Neodiprion lecontei: one gene and its partner. The protein of the gene in region 2 purifies or fractionates together with the protein of the main gene of each other region. This does not show direct contact. Links are inferred from orthologs where the notes say so. Each region holds a gene or a part of one and is shown on either strand. Other genes may lie near its edges. The genes, in order: MIP18 family protein galla-2 and threonylcarbamoyladenosine tRNA methylthiotransferase.

Region 1 (3,551 bases), on a different chromosome or scaffold from region 2:
CATGCGATCAAAGCAATTCCTATCATTATGTTTCCATTCATCATGCATTTTGACGGAGTAAGTTGGTAATTGAGAGTAGTAAAAAAAAATTGTGTTGCTCACTATCTTCATCCAACTTCCACCTTGATTTCAGGCTATATTAGTTTACTGGACTGCGACAAATTTTATATCTTTAGGTCAAGCTATGCTTTTGAAGGTTCCATCAGTTCGAACCTTTTTCAAAATCGAAGCAACTATTAAGCATGCACCGACGCAACTTGCTCCCAACAAAGGATTTGTCAAAGGATTCAAAGAATGTAAATTATTATACAATCGATTTCCAGTCTGTTCGGTTTGTTATTCTGAAATCCTTCAACCAAACTACCATTGTTGCAGCTTGGTCCAACATGAAACTGGCTGGGGCATTACAAGACAGAGGCGAAGCAGATCACATGGAATTTGAACGGGCTGGACGGGGGCCTGTACCAAAAACGTATAAATATAATCCCACTGCGCAAACACCACCACCGACACGGATTATGGCCCGGAAACGGGATTGAGTTGTTGTAAATATATTGTGATAATAAAAGGAAAACTTTAGCCATAACTTGCCATTTGTTTATTCCATCCGATTCATATGAATTCCAATAGAATTTTTACATCAAAATTATACTCTAGTATTACATGTTATATACAAAACTGTACATTACTCACTAGTAAGAGTGAATTATTTTTACATCTAGCCGACGTAGACCATTTACATTTTTGCGGCAATGCATTGATTGATTACTTCAATAAGGTGATTATTTTCCAGTGCGGCTGCAACTCTTTCCTTATCTGCAAGCTGCTTGTTTACCGCTGTCTCAGAGGCGTGCGTTCCGGGCGTTATTTCCACATTCACTTTAAACCTTGATGGCAGGGCACGCAAAAGTTGGACTCTGATAGAGAGACCGATCAATGTTGCCATGCTGCAGTGAGGTATCGTAGGCGTGAATTTAACGTGGACTTTATTGTGCTTATTATCAACCTGAAAGTAGCCGCATATCAGAATGAAACTCCTGGTCCATCGGGTTGAAGCTGCTAAAGGCGACCTAACCTAAGTAGCTACATACCTCTATAAGGCTTTGTTCAACAACGTTCAATTCCTCCAGAGTTAGAGGGTGTTCCGGATCGTTGATGTTGCGAATAAGATCTGTAAATTTTCATGAATCTTAGATCCCTACTAATCACGTGAGCGTGAGGCTACGGGCTAAAAGTGCGAGAGGTTAGAATTACCGAATATTTCTCGGGAGTCAAAGTCATCGACAACATCCTCGTCTTCGTCCTCAGCTGTGATTTCCCTCTCATGAACTTTTTTATACAATTTTGGATTAGTGTTTTCTAATTGATCAGCCATTCTTTCCTTATTAATAAGTGCAAATCGTGCAAATCAACACGGTACCCGATGGTATTCCGACACCGAGTTAAATGCGGAGCTATTATTTATTGTCAACGAGAATTAAAAAATTTTCGCGAGATGGCGCTGCTAAACGTCATCCCTAAGGTTCACCCTCGTAAGGTTATGCATCGCTGATGTGTATGTCATGCTGCGGAATACAGGGGCAGAGGTTTCATCGCTGTTAAGTATTACCTACGTGGATCCCAACAATCGGAAAAGAATAGAAACGGATCGATTAGCAGAATTGTGAATCCCATTTCTTAAAGTTTCCGAATTAAGCATGAGTCATTCCAATGAGACACTGTTCGTTTTAATCTGTTTATTCGTTTCTATTCGATTTTATCTGTTCTTTCCTATCCCGTCATATTCGCGACAATGCCACCTCTAACAGCTTGTTCGTTTCAATTATCTATCTAGAATAAGGGATGGAAATTATCAATCCGATTCAATTCTTTCCATCCGAATTGATTCTTTTCAAAGAATACGAAACATCCGTTTGGATAAAGAAATCGGAATAGATCGTATTGAAATTCTTAATCCGTTGCTATTCTTTTCCGATTGTTGGGATATATTTTTGCCATTTTTTTGATATATTCCACGTTAACGCACTGAATTAAAGAGCTGACGATAAACCCGGCGTGCCAAGTAACTAAAGAAATAACCATCTGAGAACTATGCAATGATTTTTGTAAGGAAGATTAACATTAGTTATAATGATATATGGACAAAGGATTCCACGTGGAGTCAGATAATTTGAACCCTTACCATTTTTTATTTTGTTGAAACTTTTTTCGGTAATAGTATCCTTACGACCAACAATTTTTTTCCTTTTTACTTTTACCTGAAAAAGTTTCAACTAAATTTCGAATGATTGGAATTAAAATTGTTTAATTTCGTATGGCATTTCCCGTATGCGTGTATATCATTTTCTGTTTGCAGTAGGTAATAACAACTGGAACTAGGCTGAGGCGCTTCACGAATACTCTACATTGATTCAACGTTGCAGGTCTTAAAAATAAAGAGTATCGAGCGTATGTTTCGCATTGTAACTACGAAAGTATATTACAGGTCTGGCTGGCTCTATACCGTCCGGACGGTCGCACCCTTCGGCAAGAATGAAATATAGGGTCTGTAGTCGAAGTTGGAGCCTATAGATATACAGGCCATACCCTACGTTGCAGTTGATGCGCGAACCCCAAGGGAAGCTGGGGGGAAGTCGCGGGGAGGAGAAAGCTAAATTACCCGCAGCCGTCTGAGGGTGGAACGGCGTAAAGTGTGGCTGGACTTTGATTACTTGCATGCGACGCGACGGTTGTGCAAAAATCGTTTCGGTGTGTAAGCGTTTCAGTTCTGCCGAACACCTACTGAATCACGATTTCCAATTATTCGGCTAATTCGTCCTTTTTTTTTGTCTTCTTCTGACCAATTTTCGAAGGCAAAAAAGAGGTTTCAACTTTCGACAAATTTCACCGACTATTACAATTGTGGATAATATATGCTTACTTTTATCTCACACTAATTAATCTCTGAAATGATACGCGCGAATCGTAGACGGGATTGAGAACTAATTAGCAATCCAGCGAGGTGAGAGCAGAATTTGGCTTCATTCCACTGTCACTACGTAACGACTACCCGGTACCCAACACATACATGCTCAGCACAGATACACACACACACAATTATAGGCGTGGCTTTATCTACATTGGAACGGCAATTACGTCAAGTTCAAGGTCATAGTAATAAGAGCTCGTGAGAATCAGAATCGCAATGATGAGAGGAGAAGTGATATCTATATGTATACCTTCATATGTTATCTCAATTGCGAGTTCGGCATTTCTTGCATGCCATAAGTATCCATACCACTCCAATGGCCTTTCACCTCTAACCGCTGGCCTCTCTTGCGGCTAGTCTAGACTTTGGCTTTAAGATCACAAGATTATAAGTAGTCTCATATCTTTTATTGGCAAGGTTTCTTGGATTAGAACCAATGTGAAATTTCTTCTTGTGTTCTCATGAGAGTGTGTCCGTTGAGATGGTAAAATTCATGCGAAGCGCAATAAATTTTGTTCGAGTTTCAATATGTTATTATACGACGTACACTGTTCAACGGTTAAAATGCTGCTTGATCATTTTC
Region 2 (5,612 bases):
CGCCCCCCTGCACAGGGTGACGGGTGGCATCCCGATTTTTTCAGGTTCGGGGAGGTTCAATCTTCAATTAAAAGAAACAAACCGTATGTTCGATGAGGAAATTTATGCACCAAAAAAGCCTACACTTAGAGGTGGCAGCCGCCCCCTGCACAGGGTGACGGGTAGCATCCCGGTTTTTTCTTCAAGTACTCGACCTCCCCTATCAATTGGTACTAGTTTCAATCGTATGTTCGATGAGGGAAGTTGACCTCAAAAAACTGACCGGAAGTGAAAATTTTTTTTGACACTCCGGACAGGATCCATTGTCTATAAAGTCTGGCACTCTATTGACCACTATATTCCCCATCGATTCATATGCATTTTGGCCGTATGTTCGATGAGGGAAGATACGGTGCGGTCGGCTCCTGGACTAGTATTCTCAAACTTGAAATTCCTTGTTGTGAACATAACGACTGCCTTAGGTCTATAATAAAGCGAACAAATATGAGTAATTCTCCGGGCCATTTAACCAATAAATTTTTGAATAATCATGTATTTAAAAGTTAGTAACCGATTTTACCATTCAATCAAGTGATAGTAGGTACAGGTGGAAAAATATCCAGATTAGCTTGAAATTGCTTTTTCTATTACTTTTGTAATAATGATTACCTAAAGTTTACCGGGTTTTATTGCAACATGGACTCAAGTGTTACTAACAATTGTGCATTCTTTACGAGAAATTTAACCTCAATTAAAGCATTAAAAATTGACTTTCTGTGCCAGTCCCATTCTCCTGGTGATGAACATGTTAGTCATGTATCTCAGAAAGCTTACAAGTACATAAGTTACATAGAAATATAACTATTTAATTTCATCCCTTTATTATATTACTCCTTCGCGCTGCTTGACGATGGTTTTATCTTCTAAATATTACCTTAAATTTTGTATCTCTTCTAGGAATTTATCTTGGCCTTTTTCGGTTACGGAAAGTCCCATTTGGCTAGCAGTCTTTATAAATCTTTAGTAAACGCCAGAATTATGAACATGGGTCAGATTGGAACTGGCTATGGGTGTATTAATTAAATTGTGAAATTGGAAAATGGGAAATAATTTGACATGAGATACTCGTGAAAAAGTAAGATTGTCATCTTTCTAGTGATCTATTCACAATGAATTTACTAGAATAAACAAAATCGCATTTTAAGCAATTAAGAACTTTGATCAAGATGTAAAAAATATATCGGATCAGTTTACTACTGCCATTACTATGCACATCTCGATCATAAAATTATGAAATCGATACTTAGGATTATTTGGTATTCAATTTACTAGTCAGACAACAATCAAGCCAAAGCTTTGGCAAGAAACCATTTGATGTCGCAAAATTCTTTGTCCTGACAACAAACAAAACGAAAGACATTTGGATTCCCTAATATGAATTTCAAACAATAGATTTTCAACCATCGGATATCTATTTAGAGTTTTGGCTTTCGTATTGTCAAGAATTTATACCTCACATGCCAAGCAATATTTACATAATAATAACAGTTATAATAATTTTGAAATTCGTTGAATTTCGAAATTATAAATACATCTGAGTTTACGAAATCGTCATATCAATAACAGTTATATACAGTTACATATTTACATGGGAACAAATAAATAAATATAATTCCGCATTGTTTCTTTTAATAGTGAAAATGATTCCAGCAAAAATAAACAACACGGACAAATTCTTTATCCTAAAATAGTGATAATCAAACGTTTAAAAGTTTCCATAAAAATCTGGCGAACACTGCCAAGAAAATTGCAATGAGAGCAAACAGTCTGTATTTGGATGGTTCGGATTGTTTGGTTTCGGCAACTTCAATAATACCGGAGACAATTCCTTTGGGCAGCGGAGTTCTGATCGACGCAGAGATTCCTTCATCGAGCGGCTGTCCTTTCATAGAATGTTTGGTGGCGGATATGATTCGAACCTGAACCATCTTACCCATGAACCCATCCCTCATGGGCACCAAAACCTGTTCATAGAACTTGTTGTGCCCAACGAAGTGTTTCTTGTCGTGAGAAATCTCAGTGACGAGAACATTTTGAACCTGGCCAACTTTGTGACCGTACGGTTCGTAGGACTGAAAAAATTCGGACAACTTTTTCGTTCTCTTTTTGACTTCCTGAGCAGGAACCTTGTCCATCCTTGCAGCCGGAGTTCCAGGCCTGGGATAAAACTGGTTGATGAACAGACTTGGGAACTTGTACTTTCTGCAGAGGATCATGGTGTCTTCAAAGTCGTTGTCTGTCTCGGTAGGAAAACCGCATATTATGTCCGTGGCAATGGTGACGCCAGGTACCCGGGCTTGCAGGAAATTAACAACCTGTTCAAAGTCAGCGCAGCAATACTCTCTCTTCATATCTGCGAGCACCTGATCGCTGCCCGACTGAACAGGGACGTGCAGAAAACTGTAGACTCTGGGATGTTGAAGAATTTTGCCCATCTCTTCAAGGTGCTCCAGGATGTAGGGGGGGTTTGTCATCCCGATGCGCATCATGCAGCCCTCGGGCACGACTTCCACGAGTCTCCAGAGGAGCTCTGGAAGGCTGGAGCCGATATCACGGCCGTAGGTCCCTGTGTCCTCAGAGGTAAGCCAGAGTTCACAGACGCCCTCGGAAAAGGCCTGCTTGGCACGCTCAATTATCTCGTCTGGTTGATAGCTGCCCAATTCGCCTCTCGCGTGCTTTGTTTTACAGTAGGTGCACTGGTTCAGGCAGCCTGTGTTTATGGCGATGATCTCGATCAGTGGGTTCCGCCTGACTTTCGGCAGGGCCAGCGAAGCTCCGCCGATTTTCTTTCCCTGCTCTTTCTTCTGACCCAGAAATCTAACCGAGTTTCCTTTCAACGTCTCCTCGACCACCTCGACCACCCGGTCGATCTGCTGGACGCCAATTACGCTCAGACCGGACAGGAAACCTGTTTTCGGTGCACCCTGAGGCACGCAGCCAGCGACTACAACGTGCTTGCCGCTGCATCTGCCGAGCTCGATTTCATTCCTGAAATGATCTTCGGCTGGGTTTTTTACCGTGCATGAATTTAACAACCACAGATCAGCCTGGCTTTTGTCCTCTGTCAAATTATAGCCGTACGCTGCCAGCTGACCAGCCATGTATTCGCTATCTGAACTGTTGTGCGTGCAGCCCCAGGTCTTCACGTAGATTGTTTGCGTGCCTGGAATGACGCTGGACAGGATTGTAGCCTCCGGAGCTTCGCGGATGTCTTTTTTTCGCTTGGCTCGCACTGTCACGTTTTTCTTGGTGCTGTAACGCTCCTTCGGCGTTATGTCCTGGGATGATATCAGGTCCTCGATGTCGTCTATTATGTCACTGCAGGGCGACGACATTTTGGAGGATATTGTTTTTTCTTAGATATTTTCGTGCGGATTCGAAACTGTTCAGCGATTGAGATGAGTATTTGTTGAGGTAATGTGATTTTCCACAGAAATACAGAAACTACGGCTGTTTTGTTTATTTTATAGGTTAGGATCGACTAAGTTAGGTTATCAGAAAGACGTGTAGTGGAGAGGACATGTGGCAATTGGTACGACAGAACTTATCTAGGGAGACATTGTCTGCTTTACCGACGAAAACGCTTGTTACCCGGCCAATTCAAAACATTCGATTTCATTCGAATATTTGAACATCGCCTGGATTGGCGCTGTCTGCCTGTGGTTAGAAATTTCTAGTCACTCGGCAGAATGCGCTCGTCGTTCGGCTCCAACCAGTGGTTGGAACACAAGGCAAGTGTCACAGAGTCAAAATCGAGTCTATTAACATGCAGGTATTCTCAAGGAGTAATGTGAGTCCGTTTGGTTAAATGTGTTCGGGCAGTGTAGAGCTCCTTCTCAGACATGATTTTCCATAATTATTCAAGAATACAACAACAGTTGTTATTGTACTATTTATTGATGTATCAACTTTCAGCTACTCGTACTAATTGTTATATCTTTTATTATTTACAGAATCAGCCGCACGCACCTCGAAACGTAACTTGACAAGAAGCTCTATCTTTAAAGACCTCAATTTACACCAAGAGAATACCTTTAATTATTGTATATAACTTAGTTCTACGCCTGAAATCATGAATACAATAAAACAACACGTATTGTACAAAAGTGTCAGGCTAAATAATTTAAGGGGGTGTCCTAATCGATTTCGATGTGTCTTGCATATGTACCTTCAAATATCAAAGTCTACGTATCTCAAACGCAAAAATGGTCTTAACAGCCCCATTGTATACAAAATTCTGAATAACCACACACCAACACATTTTCATTCGACGCAGAAATAAAGAAATGGCATAGTTTCTATGTAATCTCAATGGTAAATTCATAGAATTTATGCCATTTCTTTATTTCTGCGTAGAATGAAAATATAATGGAGTATTCTTGGTCAGAATTGCATATAAAATGGTCTTGTTAAGCCCTTTTTCGCGTTTGAGATACGTGGACTTCAACGTTTGGAGATATACATATACGTTAACATCGAAATCGACCAGGGCAACCCCTTAAATTATCCGGAGTAAAAAAAATTCTATGCACAGAAAAAAAACGTCGAGGCGAAAGCATTCAATTTTACAAACACGGAAAAACGTAAAGAATGTGATATTTTTGGGATAGAGAATTTATTATCTGTAAAATACTTATTAAAAGCTCGAACAACTGCAAACCAAAAAAACCGGAAACGACAAGTAAATCGATAAGACATAGTGGAAAAAAGGTTTGAAACAAAAAAACAAAAATTGCATTTGTCTGCTATAGTTTTTGAATCGTTGACCCTCGTTATTAAGAACGATGCGAAAGCGTTTTCCTTCCGGAGAATACGTAAATATGGCACATACAGAACTGATTTTTCTCGATTCTCGAAATCAGCAGATGATTTGAAAAGGATAAGAGAGGCCTTAGCTTTCGCTATAGACAAGGAACTTCTTGTCTCCAGATAGATTTGTATCCACACTCTCACAATAGCCAGGACTTCTTAAGATCGAACAATTAAGTAGTCAACTAGGGAATGCAATGAGATTTGTGTAGTGCCATTAAAATTCTTATTCGCAGTGACTTCGGAATAGTTAAGATTGTTTCCTCTTGAAACATAACGTCGACGTGACTTATTGGAGAATCCATTCTAGCAACGTTAAACATAACTGAAATCTTCGTCAAGTATGAAAACATAATTTTATGCTGAACTTTTTTCGATTTACTTAATTCTACATTGCAAAAGGATGGGAGTAATCCTATGAAAATCGTTCCGGACAGTCATTCTGTTTCGACATTTTTAGAGCCCGAAATCTATCCGTCGAATAATCGATAGAACGCGATAGAAATCGGGTAGAACACGTTTCTGAATGATTGTCCTTAGAAATCCGAAGGGGACATCTAGAACACCGCAAATTCAATGTCTGAGAAAATACAAAGGGAATACTTAGGTATTTTTTTCGGGCGTAATTTTTGACCCGCTGTTCGCAGCGAGTTTAAACGGTGCGCAATGGATTTCTATCAAGAAATTACTTCCATATGGCGTCTGAATGAATTACTTTCGACATTTTTCAAAATCAGCGAAGAATGAATCGAAAAAATACAAAG

The links.
Region 1: the proteins of threonylcarbamoyladenosine tRNA methylthiotransferase (region 2) and MIP18 family protein galla-2 purify together in Homo sapiens (affinity purification with mass spectrometry; 3 studies listed by BioGRID and IntAct, with this or other methods). This does not show direct contact. The link is inferred for Neodiprion lecontei from reciprocal best matches to the Homo sapiens genes CDKAL1 and CIAO2B.

The regions. Positions count from the first base shown.
Region 1 is NC_060261.1:37,580,567-37,584,117, reverse strand, and holds MIP18 family protein galla-2, read right to left. Parts: upstream 1,475-3,551; 5' UTR 1,376-1,474; coding exon 1,255-1,375; intron 1,172-1,254; coding exon 1,092-1,171; intron 1,007-1,091; coding exon 737-1,006; 3' UTR 576-736; downstream 1-575. Other genes in the region: mitochondrial inner membrane protein OXA1L, read left to right, coding at 1-57, 134-296, 376-539.
Region 2 is NC_060264.1:19,946,734-19,952,345, forward strand, and holds threonylcarbamoyladenosine tRNA methylthiotransferase, read right to left. Parts: upstream 3,571-5,612; 5' UTR 3,375-3,570; coding exon 1,737-3,374; 3' UTR 650-1,736; downstream 1-649. UniProt on the Homo sapiens protein: Catalyzes the methylthiolation of N6-threonylcarbamoyladenosine (t(6)A), leading to the formation of 2-methylthio-N6-threonylcarbamoyladenosine (ms(2)t(6)A) at position 37 in tRNAs that read codons beginning with adenine.